Linked DNA regions of Saccharomyces cerevisiae S288C. Changing the gene in region 2 together with the main gene of any one other region gives a genetic interaction. Each region holds a gene or a part of one and is shown on either strand. Other genes may lie near its edges. The genes, in order: DAL81, STP1, RRI1 and ARO7.

Evidence for each region.
Region 1: mutations in STP1 (region 2) and DAL81 together harm fitness more than expected from each alone (negative genetic interaction), as found in Saccharomyces cerevisiae (4 studies listed by BioGRID, with this or other methods).
Region 3: mutations in STP1 (region 2) and RRI1 together harm fitness more than expected from each alone (negative genetic interaction), as found in Saccharomyces cerevisiae (2 studies listed by BioGRID).
Region 4: mutations in STP1 (region 2) and ARO7 together harm fitness more than expected from each alone (negative genetic interaction), as found in Saccharomyces cerevisiae (2 studies listed by BioGRID).

Annotation. Positions count from the first base shown.
Region 1 is NC_001141.2:397,760-403,211, reverse strand, and holds DAL81 (Dal81p), read right to left. Parts: upstream 3,436-5,452; coding exon 523-3,435; downstream 1-522. Other genes in the region: INA22 (Ina22p), read left to right, coding at 1-371; signal peptidase complex catalytic subunit SEC11, read right to left, coding at 3,976-4,479; YIR021W-A (uncharacterized protein), read right to left, coding at 4,486-4,698; MRS1 (Mrs1p), read right to left, coding at 4,827-5,452. UniProt on the Saccharomyces cerevisiae protein: Positive regulation of genes required for catabolism of GABA (UGA4, UGA1, and UGA2), urea (DUR1 and DUR2), arginine and allantoin.
Region 2 is NC_001136.10:1,384,758-1,388,888, forward strand, and holds STP1 (Stp1p), read left to right. Parts: upstream 1-2,058; coding exon 2,059-3,618; downstream 3,619-4,131. Other genes in the region: TFIIH/NER complex subunit TFB3, read left to right, coding at 1-19; MFA1 (mating pheromone a), read left to right, coding at 419-529; CMI8 (Cmi8p), read right to left, coding at 767-1,009; mitochondrial 54S ribosomal protein mL40 MRPL28, read left to right, coding at 1,316-1,759; SPP41 (Spp41p), read left to right, coding at 4,115-4,131. UniProt on the Saccharomyces cerevisiae protein: Transcription factor involved in the regulation of gene expression in response to extracellular amino acid levels.
Region 3 is NC_001136.10:68,421-71,971, forward strand, and holds RRI1 (COP9 signalosome catalytic subunit RRI1), read right to left. Parts: upstream 1,900-3,551; coding exon 577-1,899; downstream 1-576. Other genes in the region: translocation channel protein TIM22, read right to left, coding at 1-186; GDH2 (glutamate dehydrogenase (NAD(+))), read right to left, coding at 2,220-3,551. UniProt on the Saccharomyces cerevisiae protein: Catalytic component of the COP9 signalosome (CSN) complex that acts as an regulator of the ubiquitin (Ubl) conjugation pathway by mediating the deneddylation of the cullin subunit of SCF-type E3 ubiquitin-protein ligase complexes.
Region 4 is NC_001148.4:674,241-677,476, reverse strand, and holds ARO7 (chorismate mutase ARO7), read left to right. Parts: upstream 1-1,845; coding exon 1,846-2,616; downstream 2,617-3,236. Other genes in the region: FCY1 (cytosine deaminase), read right to left, coding at 1-312; JID1 (Jid1p), read left to right, coding at 595-1,500; YMC1 (organic acid transporter), read right to left, coding at 2,803-3,236. UniProt on the Saccharomyces cerevisiae protein: Catalyzes the Claisen rearrangement of chorismate to prephenate. Acts at the first branch point in the aromatic amino acid pathway where it steers biosynthesis towards phenylalanine and tyrosine, and away from tryptophan.

The DNA.
Region 1 (5,452 bases), on a different chromosome or scaffold from region 2:
GAAAGGTAGACTTCGACGCAGATGATGAATTGAAACTTGTGAATTTGCGTTTAGGAATCGTCGGCAAGAACGCAACTGGGATGAAGGAAGATGAGACTGATATTGTGGTTCCTAAGGAAGAGTCATTGGAAGAGATCTGGCAAAGTATAATAGACGAGGCAAAAAAAGAAGTAATCGAAAAAACTCCAGATGCTGGCGTTAAGAACAAAGAAGGGATTGTCACTGATTTGAATGTTCTAAAAGATTTAGAAAAGTCGAAAAAAGAAGATGAAAAGGTTTACCTAAGTGGTGATGTCCATATGATGATGAACCAACCAGGTGATTTGAATGAAATCGCCAAAGAACATGATAAAATCCCAAAATTTCTATAGTAGGCTCTATGCATCCGGATATACCACATGTAAATATAACGCAAGCGAATAAATAATTTTACATTCACCACTCAGTAACCTTGGTCCTGCAGAAGATATTTCTATATAGTTATTACCGTATTCCATTTTTACTTATGTGCTATTATTTATATTACAGAGGGGTTTCCCTTGTGTTAATTGTTACATTTTTATCATCATTCATTTTTATAGTTTGGTTACCAGTTGCGCTTGTTTCCTGGTTCGAGTTTGGATTATCGTCCTTGAGTTCCGTTGATGATTCCTCGTTGGCGGTTCTTTCTCTTCCTGCTGTTTTTTCATCTGCAGCGTCACCTGACTCTTGTCTGGTTTCGTTAATTGAGGTCAAGGGAGAAGCATTCATTTGTGTATTAGAGTTGACATTTGTGCTGGAATTGACTCTTGGTGAAGATGTATTAGAGGGGGGGTGTCTGCTCATATGAGAGGGCGTAACATTTGGTGAAGATTGTGAAGTTTTTTTAGAAGACTTATTTGGCGCAAATGGTAAAGGCGTGTTGTTGCTATTATTATTAGCACTATTTATGGCTGGACTTCCCTGCGATTCTAGTTGTGTTTGTCTGGAAGTGGGGTTTACTGGCGTTGTTGTACTGGTCGTACCGTTGGGAAAGGAGTTTAGTTGTTGCAAGATTTCCTGGGGCAAATTCTTCCACTGGTTTAAAGGAGATCCTTGCTCGGTCATGGCAGGTGATCCCACGTTAAATTGTATTGGGATTTGCGATTGTACACCTGACCTTTGTGGGTTAACGGAATTGATGTTAGAGTTAGGGCTCACGACCACCGGTTCATCGGTCAGAAGACCAGGAATTTGTGCAAATAGTAAATGCATATTATTCAAAGCATTCGATAGTTTATCAAAGTATTTGGAACCTATCTTCAATACCCAGGTATAATTTCTAACATAATCTCTGAAAATCATAGCCTCTTCCTTCGTAGCTGAAGTCACATACAGCAGGGCAGCAAATGTTCCAATTAGCATCAGATTTCCAGTTGAGCAGTTATACCAAAAAGCATTAATATGTTCGTTTTTTAGATCTCTTATAAATTCAATTGCTGCTACAAGCCTGGTTCTTGCAGCAGTCCTGCATACTTGAACCAGTTCCTTTGGAGTTTGAGGATTCAAGGCACAGATAATTTTCCTATGTAACGTAATTTCCGTGGCAAAATAAGCTAGAGTTAAAGTTGAATTTGAGTTCAATTTTTGTGGCGTGGCATAACTCATTGACAAATTCTTGGGTAGGGAATGGTACCATTCTCTTAATTTCAGTTGCAACGGCTTTGCCAGTTTCAATACCTGTTCAATGCTTTTGTTTATTGTCATGGATCCCTGAGTGTAAAATGTGTCCATGATTTCCCCAAGAATTATACTCAAGGAAACCATTTGTTGAAACATAAGCGTTCCATTCTTGAAATCTTCTAAAGTGGGGTTTATGTTAAATATGGGCAAGTTACCAAATGCTATCTGATGGTTTTTCACATCATTTGATGACGAGGGTGAAGACCCCGACTGGTCATTTTGCAAGGAATTTAAAATAGTGGGCGAATTCAGAGGAAAATCATCAAAGTTTAATAGCTTGATCATCCAGTTCCTACCTAAAATTAAATGGGATTGTCTACCTTCGTTTAATGCACACCATTTATCCATCAACCAAACTGCCCACGCTAATCTCTTTCTCAAATCTTTTTCCCATTTGGGAAGTTTCCAATCATTACATTCAACCCCGAGCCCCAATTCCTCTGCAAGGGCCACTACGCTGGAGCAGAGGACCCAGTTGTTATGACATTCACTACGGCATTGCAAAATCAAAAGGCCTGTTTGTATAATGCTCAATTTTGGCCTTCCAACTCGAGCATAAAATGTTTCCAATGCGATATTGTTTAGTTGAGCAGTTACATCGGGTTTAGGGAACCCCAAAAGTGCAGGATGAAAATCCCAATATTGTAATGCCAGTGAGTAAATGGATGCCAGTAAAGGCGCAGTGAGTTCTCTATAAGATCTAGAATACTTTTCCAAAAATACACGTTCGTGTAAAATTGGAAGAAAAGGATGAATCAATTTGAAGAAAATCTCTACTAAAAGGTGACCGTGCGGATGTACCAGATTTTCGACCAAATCAACTTCGTATTCTTGCTTACTATGAAGGGTCGTGTCAAAATCGTCCTGAAGAATAAACTGTGCGGTAGGAGACACCTTTCTTAATGATAAAGTTTTTGATAGCTGTATTTGGTCAACATTATCTAGTCTTACATGCTTGGTCAAGTTCAAATCGAAAACTGAGGCCGGACCGACGAAAAAAGAGGATCTGGGGTATTGTATACGCTGTTGCTGCTGTTGCTGTTGCTGCTGCTGTTGATGTCTATAGAGCATGCTACTGGGTAAGCGATTCGAATAGTCTTCAAAATTTTTCATTCGTTTGGAGTTTGAAGAGGTTGGCATGTTATTGTTTGCCCCAGAGGACGTTCTTTTCAAATAATTTGGAGCAATACTGAAGGTGCATTTAGTTCTTGACGTTTCACATTCGAGACAGTTGCCTAGGTCGGGAAAATAGTTGCACTTTGTTTTCTTTAATCTACATTGATTGCAAGATCCCATCAGATTACCGGGACTAGATATGTCATTATTGTTGTTATTATTGTTGCTATTACTGCCATTATGATCTGCGCTGTTACTAACATTGTCATCAAAGGCTATTGCATTATCACTCTTGGAGAGTAAACTTTGATAATGGTGCAAAAGGGTATCCAGGCTCTGTTGTTGCTGCTGTTGTTGCTGCTGTTGTTGCTGTTGTTGCTGCTGCTGATGCTGTTGTTGTTGTGATCCTCCTTTCTCCCTCAGTATATTAGGATGGTCGTTTGCCAAATGTTGCAGAATGGTAGTATAGTTATCATTAAAATTCAGTATATCATGGTTACTGTTATTATTGCTGTTGTTGCTATTGACATTATTATTCGTGGACGAATTTTTAGTGGTTGCCTTCACGCTCTTCGTAGGCGATGCGGCATTATCAGCTGGTGATTGGTGAGGGTCCATTTGATAGTATGGCTGCCTGTCGTTCTGCCGCTCGTCTAAACAGGCCAAGAGTTTTTAAGATCTACACTATTATTTGAAAATGATTCTTATCATCTATTATTTTCAATCACCATGTACGATTGTTATGTTTCATATAATACCCATCGCGATGGATATTATATGAGTATTATTAGCTCGAATCTTGGACTGCTTCTGCTCTACCTATACACTGATTGTACAATTCTATATGCTTATGCAGCTTAGACCATTTTTTATTCGAGAAGTTAAACCTAGCGGTCTCAATTACCGACACATATGCCTTTTCAAGATATCGAGTTAATGAGCGACGGTATCACCTTATAAAAAATGACACAAATCATCTCTGTTGAATTGCCTACATCACTGTGGGAGCTCCTTTTTCAATAATTCTCAAAGCGTGTCCTAAGACAATATTTTGTTTTCAGCGTGGACCGAATGGTTATGGTTATATAATTAAACAAGTTAAAGACCATAAGCACAAATACAAAGTACGTAAACATCGTTCCAAAAAAACTTGGCGAACTACTCGCCCCCCAGCAGAGCACTCAACCCCAACATACCTAACAATGCAAACTTGGCATATTTGTTCTCGCTAATCCAAATCGTAATGTACCCTAGTTGTGGAAAGTAGCCCTTGACGGTCCCTACAATCTCCTTTGACTTGTTCAAGTAAATTTTCTTATTAGCATATAGTGAGATATCATTGCCGGCGTTATTGTCACCTTTGGTCAGGAGGAATTGCTTGTCCGCGTGATTGTTATGTTGCCTCAAAACTCTATGCACAATGGGGATTTGTTTCCCTTCGACCTCATACACCACGACATCACCTACTTGGTTGAAAGTATTTCTATTCCATAGGAAAAGGATATCACCCCTTTGGAAAGCTGGTTCCATGGAGCCTGAAAGCACCACCACGATCGGAGAAGCGCTATTAGTAGCAATGGCTAAGCCTTGCCAGAACATGTAAGCAGATGCAAACAAAAAGCAAACGTTCAATAGTTTCTGCAATTCAAATCTTAGATTCATCTTGTGCTAACTCCCTTGGGGTTTACTTTCCGGTATATTTCTGTAGTATATTGTTTCTGCACCATTTATTTCCTTGGAGATTATTTTTTTGAAATCGCTTTTGCCAATGGAAAAAAGTATACGTATGGTAATAATAATAAGAGCAACAGCGCTCTCTGAAATAGAAGATACCAGCAGCTTCGTGGTCTTGGGAGTCTTGCAGCTGACAGAGAATGACATTGTTGTGCAGGTGTGTCACATAAGATCTGGAAAAAACCAACAGCTACAGAAAGAACCGCCCTCACGGAGAATAAAGTCAATAGTAGCTTTTTTTTACGTACTTTCTATTTACATGCTATATAAGAGGATTATATCTTTGCGCCTTTGAGAAACTTTGAGGAACCGGCCTGAAAATGTTGTAGATTGAGCTTTTCTTGCTTAACGTAGTCGTTGAATTGCTTTAGGACGCCTGAGTCCAACCTACCATTGTCCTTCATCACAATGTCAACGAGGTTGCTATACGTACGAAGAACTTTACTCGACTCCATAGTAGCGAGAAACACCTCTGTCATATCAGATGCATCTTTTCCTGTGTCCAGGGAAAGACAATCCTTCAGGGAGAAGTTTAGGCCCGTTGTCGAGGATAGTATGGGGAATTTAAGTTTCCAGCCTTTATCCAAATGAAGACACATTAGCGGGTCGATGTCATTATCGAAGGCGGATCGCAGTAATCGCTTGGTGACAACCTCCTTTATAGTGGCACGTACCACCGGATCGTACATCTGATATTCTCGAGGTACAGAAATGGAAGGGTTTTCCTTTAATGAGACTCTTATGGGAGTCAATTCGCACCAGAAGGTGTCAATGAATTCAGGATTGCAGACAGCTGCAAGCAAACGAGCTTTTTCATTGGTAGAAGTTACGTACACTCCTTGGCATTTCGCGTATAGTAGGTGTTCTAGGATGTTTGATTGCAGTTTACAATTAAAATCCA
Region 2 (4,131 bases):
TATATCCGAGGAGCTTTAAAACATCAGGATAGTGTGCAACGTGGCATAAGCTATGTAATCAACTACTTTTTATTTTCTATGTACGCATATACATGCATTCACGATCTGTTTCAGTGTTCAGAAAAAAGGCACCTACTGCTACGGTTGGCCCATACCTTTATTCTTTGTTCTTGTTACAAACGAGTGTGTAATTACCCAAAAAGGAAATTTACATGTTAAATGAAACCCAGTAATCAGAAAAAACAGTTAAGAAACCTAAAATGGTAGAGATAAAGATACAGATTCAGTGGTTGCTGAAAATCAAGTAAAAAAATGAAATAGAGTCTTCATATATAAACCGCCAGAAATGAATTAATGAGAGGGATCTGTAACTGTTTCTCGGATAAAACCAAAATAAGTACAAAGCCATCGAATAGAAATGCAACCATCTACCGCTACCGCCGCTCCAAAAGAAAAGACCAGCAGTGAAAAGAAGGACAACTATATTATCAAAGGTGTCTTCTGGGACCCAGCATGTGTTATTGCTTAGTTTCTGCGTACAAAAACGTTGTTCTCCCTCCTTTATCTTCCTTTTCCGCTACACCAATATATCATGTTTGTTCGTAATATTTCTTTTTAGACCTAATAATAAATATCCTAAGTAACTATATTATATAAAATATTTTGATACCCTGTACCTGCTTTTGTTATCGTTGTACATCCATGCACACGCTCATATATATATATATATATATATATATGTATATGTACATATACCGCTTACCACCTACCGTGAAGTATATGTAAGGGTCTTCGCACCCGGATATCCCTTGTGGGATCTTGGATGCGGATGGTGAGTGTAAACAGGCCTCATAAAGCTGTCTCTGTGTGCGGAAGATGTCGTTTCATCGGCTTCGACCTCCTCCTTATCTTGCTTCATTGTTTCTTCGTAAGAGGGCGGATCTACGGGCAGCGGGGTCGCTGTCTCCTTGTATGCATGCTTATTTATATCACTCTTTCCGCTATCCATCATAATCTGTTTTTGTTTATGTGCTTTGAATACTCAACACATAAAATAATATCCAGTTAATTGTCGTCTGTCCATTGACGCTTTGCCTTTGTCCCTTTAGACTGTCTTTATTGTGAAATATGCACGGCTGAGAATTACGTATACAGTGACTATCGTATGGGGCGACAAAAGTTCCCAGCGAGAAACAAGATGAAGCAGACTGGGGCCTGCCTGTATGGAGGGAAGCATAAGTTAATATACCTCCAGATATTTGCAGATTAGGATACTGAACTGACGAAGACCTACGCTACACAACGAAGATAACACATGCTGGCACAAACATTCAAAAAACCACACAGAGCCGTTCTAGAACAGGTATCTGGGACCACGGTCTTCATCAGAAATAAGAGAACAAAGAGCAAGAGCTCACTGTCACCTTTGGCACAAAGGGTCGTCACGCAGTTGAGTGTGATGTCTGCAAGCAGAAAGCAGCCCAAGTTGCTGAAGCTGGCGCGTGAAGACCTGATTAAACATCAGACCATTGAGAAGTGTTGGTCAATTTATCAGCAGCAACAACGGGAGCGCAGAAATTTACAGTTGGAATTACAATATAAGAGCATTGAGAGATCTATGAACCTTCTACAAGAACTCAGCCCTCGTCTGTTTGAGGCTGCCAATGCTTCCGAGAAGGGCAAGCGATTCCCGATGGAAATGAAGGTGCCCACTGACTTCCCCCCAAATACGTTATGGCATTATAACTTCCGAAAATGATAGCGTGAGCGAACGCTTGACTGTCTCCTGCTGTAAATAACTGATGATCAATAGAATGCCACGTATATATGGACTTATATAATTATATGTACATAGACATATAAAGGGCATGTGGTAATTATGACATGAACTGTATCACTATTGACGTTTTTTTTACTGCTTTTTCCCATCCCTGCAAGCGAAAAAAAAAGCAAGCTGACTCTTGTATAAACTGCAAGGACTCATTGATTAAAAGTAGATTTACATTACAGACTAAAGGAAAAGGCAAACTATACCGGCTATACCACATTCGTTCAAAAATGCCCTCTACCACGCTACTGTTTCCGCAGAAACATATTAGGGCCATTCCAGGCAAGATATACGCGTTCTTCAGAGAGCTCGTCAGCGGAGTTATTATATCCAAGCCAGATCTAAGTCATCATTATTCTTGTGAAAATGCGACAAAGGAGGAAGGCAAAGATGCAGCAGATGAAGAAAAGACTACCACAAGTTTGTTTCCCGAATCAAATAATATAGACCGTTCTTTAAATGGTGGCTGCTCTGTGATCCCTTGCTCCATGGATGTCAGCGATTTGAACACGCCAATATCGATCACACTATCTCCTGAGAATCGTATCAAATCAGAAGTAAATGCCAAGTCACTGCTCGGATCAAGGCCAGAACAAGATACAGGCGCCCCTATCAAAATGTCTACTGGTGTCACAAGCTCTCCATTAAGTCCATCAGGCTCCACCCCAGAACATTCCACCAAGGTCTTGAACAACGGCGAAGAGGAGTTCATTTGTCACTACTGTGACGCTACTTTCAGGATTAGAGGATATCTAACGAGACATATTAAGAAGCACGCCATCGAAAAGGCGTATCACTGTCCATTTTTTAACAGTGCCACTCCTCCTGATCTTAGATGCCACAATTCGGGTGGTTTTAGCAGACGCGATACTTATAAAACTCATTTGAAGGCAAGGCACGTGCTGTACCCCAAAGGTGTTAAACCACAAGACCGTAACAAGTCGTCCGGCCATTGCGCTCAATGTGGTGAATACTTTTCCACCATTGAAAATTTCGTTGAGAATCACATTGAGTCTGGGGACTGTAAAGCTTTACCGCAGGGGTATACCAAGAAAAATGAAAAAAGATCTGGAAAATTAAGGAAGATCAAGACATCTAATGGTCATTCTAGATTCATATCCACTTCGCAAAGTGTTGTAGAACCTAAAGTACTTTTCAACAAGGATGCCGTAGAGGCTATGACCATAGTGGCTAATAACAGTTCGGGCAATGATATTATATCCAAGTACGGAAACAACAAATTAATGTTAAACTCGGAAAACTTTAAAGTCGACATACCCAAGAGAAAGAGAAAATATATCAAGAAAAAGCAGCAACAGGTATCTGGATCGACGGTAACCACACCAGAGGTAGCTACACAAAACAATCAAGAAGTGGCACCTGATGAAATCTCATCCGCCACAATTTTTTCACCTTTTGATACTCATCTACTCGAGCCCGTCCCTTCTAGTTCATCGGAATCTTCCGCTGAAGTTATGTTCCATGGCAAGCAAATGAAGAATTTTTTGATTGACATAAACAGCTTCACAAATCAACAGCAGCAGGCACAAGATAATCCTTCGTTCCTGCCACTCGATATTGAACAATCTTCATATGATTTGAGCGAAGACGCAATGTCATATCCCATCATATCCACACAAAGCAACCGTGATTGCACGCAGTATGATAACACAAAAATCTCACAAATCTTACAATCACAACTAAATCCAGAATATCTCAGCGAAAATCACATGAGAGAGACACAACAATATTTGAATTTTTACAATGACAACTTTGGGTCACAATTTTGATTAAATATAACACGGGATAAAAATAAGGGTATCATATTGGAAAGCCGATGGGTAAAAATTATTGAGTTAATAAATGGAGACAATATTAAAAATCAGGTAACAACAAATAAAAGGTTATAAATGTACTGCTGTATACTATATAAAAACTTTTAGCATGACTAATTAATTTTCATACTACTATGTTAAATAAACCAAGTGATTGCAACACCAATATTTTATTATTGATCTTCAGCGCATAGAGTCGATTCGTAGATATTATCACTTTTGACGTTTGTGATTTCTTTTTCATGATTGATTACCGATGATGCTATAACAAATAAAGGTCAAATTTTGAAAACAATGAAAAATAAGTAGTAAACAAATAAATGCACATTTATTGACACTAGTAGAGTGTAAGAGGAAAGTAATTTTTAGAACGCTTTATACACCTCTATCATTTATTTTTTTTTTGGTAAAAAAAAAACAGTAAGGTGTTAACCATATATCATATTCTGCCATGGCTTATGATGAAGA
Region 3 (3,551 bases), 1.3 Mb from region 2:
CAGGCCTAAAACACCACCCAGTGCAAACCCTGTTACACCACTCACAACTGATTTTCCAGGACAGGAAGTCATGAAGTTCATGATCATTTCAGCACCCCGTTCACCCTGTTCTTCCGGAGTTAGTTCATTATAAGGTTTCTTTTGAGCTGGACTTATCTGCTCCAAACCAAATCCTGTGTACACCATCTTCGTATAAAGTATTTAAAATCACAATTTCTTGATCTTATTTGGCAGCTATCTCTACTATCCCGTTTAGTACTATCCCGTTTAGTAGTGACAGAAAAATAGTATTTTGTCCTGAAAAGCTTCGGATTTTATATGTACGAAATGGATCCGAGGAAATGCTGTCTGTTTTATTAGAGAATTAAGTTGACTGATGCATCGTCTTTCTCTTCAGTTGTAAGCTCGATGCCATTTTATCAGTAAGACCAAAAACCAACACATAACGGCGTACGAAAATATCAAATTGTCACCCGGTATAGATATACTTATAGAGATTCAAGAAGGAATAACTATTAAAAGTACGTTGCAGATAAACATAAGCTATTGCAGCGTCATTGGAGCAACGTTAGGAATTCATAATGTAAAGGTGTCCTTGTAAAAACGTAACCGCTCATATTGTTTTATCTTTGACGCAAGTATTCGATTTTTTGCTCTTGCATAATCTGTCTCCAAGACATTTCTCTGTAACATATCATTGCCCTCATCATGACATCTTTCCTGATTGCTGTTCATGCGTTTTTTAGAATTGTGAAAATTGTCGGTAGACCTGCTGCTTCTTTCCACGCGATTTACATGAATGCTCGGTTCGCCGTTTATGCACAGACTAGTGTCAGTACTGTCGAACTCGGTAAGGTTTCTATCTTCCATATCTACGTCACTAGTATTATCACCTGAAAACATGCTTCCAAAGGAGCTTGTTTCAGTGCTATCCCCCCTTTGCGTATTGAGGCAGAACTGAGACCTTGTTGAACGGTTTTGATAGTCAATGTTTTTTTTATTTTCGTTGCTAACACGTTCACTGGTAGTAGCCAACTTAATCCTTGTTCTAACATTTTTGGAATCCATCAAATAGCTATACTGCTTCATTGAATCGATCAATCTATTTAATGATATTTGTTCTGACTCATCATCCTCTATTACGCAATGTAAGTTTAACTTTGTTTCAAATAGCGCTCGGTTCAATTCTGAATCAAATATGATTGTTTCTAGTTCATAGTATGAAGTGGCACTATTATCATCACTTTTACTTTCTATTGTCCTAAATGCACCCATTCTTAAAATTTTATCTTCCAGACTTTTCAAGGGATCGACCACAATTGCGACATATGGATCTTGGAATCTCTGGTTCAAATCCTGGGTTTGGATATCTATATTACTTAACCAACAGTCGTAACCAGGATGTGAATGGAACCAGCCAACAACATTCAGTTTAGCGCCCTTGTAATCTCGCCCATCACCACCGTCATTATGATTATACATCTCGTCGATATATTGAACCATATATTCGTATGACTCCAATTGTGCATTTACGCGAGTTTCTGTCCCTACTACGGGAAGATTGAAACAATCCATTACAACAATATTATCTTTTAATGTGAACCCCATTAATATGCCCATGATTTCAATATTTCCTCCACGAACTGCATAATGGGTGATCTTTTCACATGATAATTTTGATATAAGTACGTGGGTGTAACTCGGAATATCTGTACTACTTTGTTGTTTTAGTTTAGTTTTGAGCAAGGAAGATTGGCTTAGCGCATGAAATTCAGGTTCTTGCGACGGCTTGAATCGCATACTTGATAGCGCTATAGATTCAGTTAGTTCATCTTCCACGGTGTACCTTTCCTTTAGTAGTTGTCGTAATTCCTTTACAGTCTTATTTGAAAGTGACATGCTGCCTCCTGCAGTTTTTATTGATTTTCGATCGTTGTTATTCATTTTTAGTTTATTTGAAAAACCCTTTAATAAGAGCGCTTCCTGCGTAGCGCGCCTTTCCTAAAGTTTCAGCTGAAGCATGGCTCCCTGAGGAGAACTGCCTAGTATAATGGATAACTCGAAGGAAAAAATATCAAATGCTTTTTTTAGATTAAAAATAATGGACATATAAACAACTTTACTTAGTACACAATAAAACGCTGAGAAGAACATACACATATGTTTAATTTTCTTTTCTGACGGCAGAACTAATTTATACAAAACAATTTTATTGAAGCTCAAGCACTTGCCTCCGCTTCTCTTTTTAACCCACCAATAAATTCCAAGAATTTTCCAATGTTAACATCGATACCGTTCTGGTAAACAAAAGTGCTTGATAAGTAACTCGACAGAAGAACTTTCAAATAGCTCTCTGGAATGTTTTCCAATACGGACTGAGGCCCAGCAACATCAATCAGAATTTTTGGAATTATTTTATCCAACAATAGGTAGTTTCTTAATTTTAGATCATTGAGCCACAACTCTTGAGAAGCAACTAGATCGTCGTTCAATTTGTTTATAGTGAAGGACAATTGGTTTGAAATTTCTGAAATGTGGGTTCCATTTAGTTGATTCAAATTCCATAACTGACCAAACTCTAATTCAGCATTTTTCTGAATTCTTGACTGCACTTCTACAACGTACGACTTGTACAACGCAGACCTCTCACCACTAACATCTCCAATAAATTTGTGCACGAAGTCGTTATCGTTAAGCGCTAGTGAGGCCAACACTTCCATTGATGAAGATGTGACACCACCTTTGTTTGCAGAAGCATCTTTGAACAGAATACAGCCATGTTCCTCCAAAGCATTTTTAGCAGGTTGCGTTATAAATAGATTGGCACCCTCCACAATATATGGAATTTTACATTTCCCAGTCTTTTCGTCAACAAAATAATGTAGATTATTTAGAGTAATTGAGTTTGGTCTACCACCGCATGGAACAAAAATGTCGACATGATCCACAAATTTGAAAATTTGAGTATGAAAGGTGTTTCTGAAGGTTGTGCCGTTAGCTACAATTGTACCATTTGGTAGCATGATATCCATTGCATCCACAGAAACAAAAAATCCGTTGTTTGATAATTTGGAAGTGTCGAAATCGGAAATCATTTTCCTTTCATGTGCCAAGCGGCATAATTCATCTTTATCTAAACCTTTAGGATCACACAGGACACCTGAACCGTCCAGAATTGCCAAATAACATTCGTTTGGCGAAGATAAAAGAATTTCATTGGATCCCAAATCACCATCCGGACCACCAGTTTGGAATTTGTAAACAGTAGAATTTGTCAAGTTTAAAGTTTCGTAAATTTTATTAACATAAGCACGAACACCCAGAGAAGTCATACCATATTCGTCATGGGGAATACCACCCAAAGATGGGGATTTTCCAGTCAAAAATGATTTCCACCATGGGCAGTTCCTCACACGAGCATGGTTAGTTGCCCAATCCACGAAACCAGCAGTTCCTTCATCTGGGCCAAAAAATAATATTTCCTCCTTTGGTAAAAGGTTGACATAGTTTTCCTTTAATGGATCGTTGATTAGAATGTCAATCATTGCATC
Region 4 (3,236 bases), on a different chromosome or scaffold from region 2:
TGGAATACCATACATGATGATGGCACCTGTACACATGTCGCATGGAGACAGCGTCGTATACAAAGTGGTATCTTTGTACACTTTGCCCTCTAATCTCCCACAGTTTTCCAAAGTGGAGATCTCACCATGTAGTGTGGCGGATCCCTTTTGAAATCTCATGTTGTGACCACGACCGAGAACACTTCCGTCTTTGTTATTGATAAGACATCCGCCAATAGGAACACCACCCTCTTTGTAACCTAAGGCCGCCTCCTCATAGGCAATGTCCATACCCTTCTGATCCCACTTGCTTGCCATTCCCCCTGTCACCATTAGCTATGAAATTTTTAACTCTTTAAGCTGGCTCTCATCAACATAAAACAATGGCTTGTAGATCTCATTGTCGAATTGAAAATGAACTTTTTAATTTCGCAAAAAAAAAAAGAAAAGTTCAGGGTCTCCGGGTACTACCGCCCCTGCAAGGAATGACCGGTGATAATGGAAGAGAAGATATTACAGCGACAGTATAATTAACAAACACGTTGTGTCTTTAGGCTCGTAACTAACTGTACGTATATCTACACACCATAGGTCACTACTTGCAATATATTTGTTATGCTACACCATAAGTTCGTATACCCATTTTTATTCAAGTGGCACTTATCATGTGTAGAAAAGTGTCCCCCACAAATCACTTTTATAGCTAAGTATGCTACAGCGAACGATAAAAATGGCAATAGAAAACTTACGATAAGGGATGAACAATGGCCTGAGTTGGCAGATCCAACTCCCTATGATATTTTTGGCATTCCAAAGGCCGGATCTGGAAATCCTAAACTGGACAAGAAGTCGTTAAAAAAAAAATATCATCGTTATGTAAAATTGTACCACCCTGACCATTCCGATAACATTCAAATATTTAGCTCAGAAAAGGTTACCAACAGTGATAGTAAATCACCGCTGCTGCTAACATCAAGCGAAAAACTACATAGATTTAAAGTCATCTCTCAAGCATATGATATTCTTTGTGACCCAAAGAAAAAGATCGTATATGACACAACGAGGCAAGGCTGGACCACATCGTATTCACCACGTTCTAACGTTAATACTGAAAATTACCAATATGCCGGCTCTTATGGCTACCACTCTAACGCGCAGTATGAATACTGGAACGCTGGGACTTGGGAAGACGCAAATAGCATGAAAAACGAAAGAATTCAAGAAAACATCAACCCATGGACCGTTATTGGCATAATTTGTGGCCTAGCTATATGCATCGAAGGGACTGCGTTGTTAGCCAAAATCCAGGAGTCTCTGAGCAAGGCCGAATTTACTCATGACGAAAGTGGATTACATTTGATTCAGTCATACACGAATTATGGTCTTGATACTGACAAATTTTCCAGATTGAGGCGGTTCTTATGGTTTAGAACTTGGGGACTTTACAAGTCGAAAGAGGATTTAGATAGAGAAGCCAAGATCAATGAAGAAATGATACGCAAACTGAAAGCAGCTAAATGAAATCACCTATTGCGCCGCTCGCGGAATACAATTACTAAATTTTATATATATTCTTTAAAAATGCATCTATACATTCGTTTTTCCACGTATACCAAATTCGAAAAAAGTTGTTAAACCATCGTTTTCACGTTTTTTAATTTTTTTTTGGTTCTCTTTTTTTTTTTTTTTCAATATCAACTTTTTTTCAAACTTCGTGTTGCATTTCCTTTATCGTAAATTTTCAATGGATCTCTATAATCTTCGAAGTTCGAAGAAAAGAAGAAAAAAAGTATTGAAAAGTTGAAACATCGATTCCGTTTTGCTAACAAATAGCACTCAGCATCCTGCATAAAATTGGTATAAGATATGGATTTCACAAAACCAGAAACTGTTTTAAATCTACAAAATATTAGAGATGAATTAGTTAGAATGGAGGATTCGATCATCTTCAAATTTATTGAGAGGTCGCATTTCGCCACATGTCCTTCAGTTTATGAGGCAAACCATCCAGGTTTAGAAATTCCGAATTTTAAAGGATCTTTCTTGGATTGGGCTCTTTCAAATCTTGAAATTGCGCATTCTCGCATCAGAAGATTCGAATCACCTGATGAAACTCCCTTCTTTCCTGACAAGATTCAGAAATCATTCTTACCGAGCATTAACTACCCACAAATTTTGGCGCCTTATGCCCCAGAAGTTAATTACAATGATAAAATAAAAAAAGTTTATATTGAAAAGATTATACCATTAATTTCGAAAAGAGATGGTGATGATAAGAATAACTTCGGTTCTGTTGCCACTAGAGATATAGAATGTTTGCAAAGCTTGAGTAGGAGAATCCACTTTGGCAAGTTTGTTGCTGAAGCCAAGTTCCAATCGGATATCCCGCTATACACAAAGCTGATCAAAAGTAAAGATGTCGAGGGGATAATGAAGAATATCACCAATTCTGCCGTTGAAGAAAAGATTCTAGAAAGATTAACTAAGAAGGCTGAAGTCTATGGTGTGGACCCTACCAACGAGTCAGGTGAAAGAAGGATTACTCCAGAATATTTGGTAAAAATTTATAAGGAAATTGTTATACCTATCACTAAGGAAGTTGAGGTGGAATACTTGCTAAGAAGGTTGGAAGAGTAAGCATGAAGGCTATCACGGTAACAATTCCACATTGCCGAGTGATTACTACGCATATATAAACACACACACTCACCATATATATGTACGCATAGTAGCATCTATTGAATATAAGAAGATAGAGTTTCAAGTTATACATTATATTGTACTATTTTCTTAAACGATGGCTCATAAATTCTATAGGAATTATCAACCCAATAACCTCATCGCTAATTCAAAAGTAGCAAAAGTGGCACCATTGGCGGGAGCAGCTCTTAGCATGGTAGGACCAAACCCTTTGAAAAAAGCGCCTATCCCTCCATTGGCATATAAAGTCTTGGCTACACTGGAAATAGAATTACCAAATTTAGGCTTTTGTAAATTATCCGTTTGCATGACAGACTTGATGACATCTAATGGATATACCATCAACCATAAGGCAGTGCCAGACAATGCTCCAAAAATACAAAGTTTCCATGCAGGAATGTCCTTTCTCTCTAGTCCACGTCTTTTGTTCATTTGGTTAGCAATCAACGCTTCATACACTAAGAAATATGTGCCACATCCATGACCTTCTCTCAATATTGTAGGTGTTAAACCACGTAGCAAGGCCTTGTTATGTCTTAATTTTTTGATGCATTCCA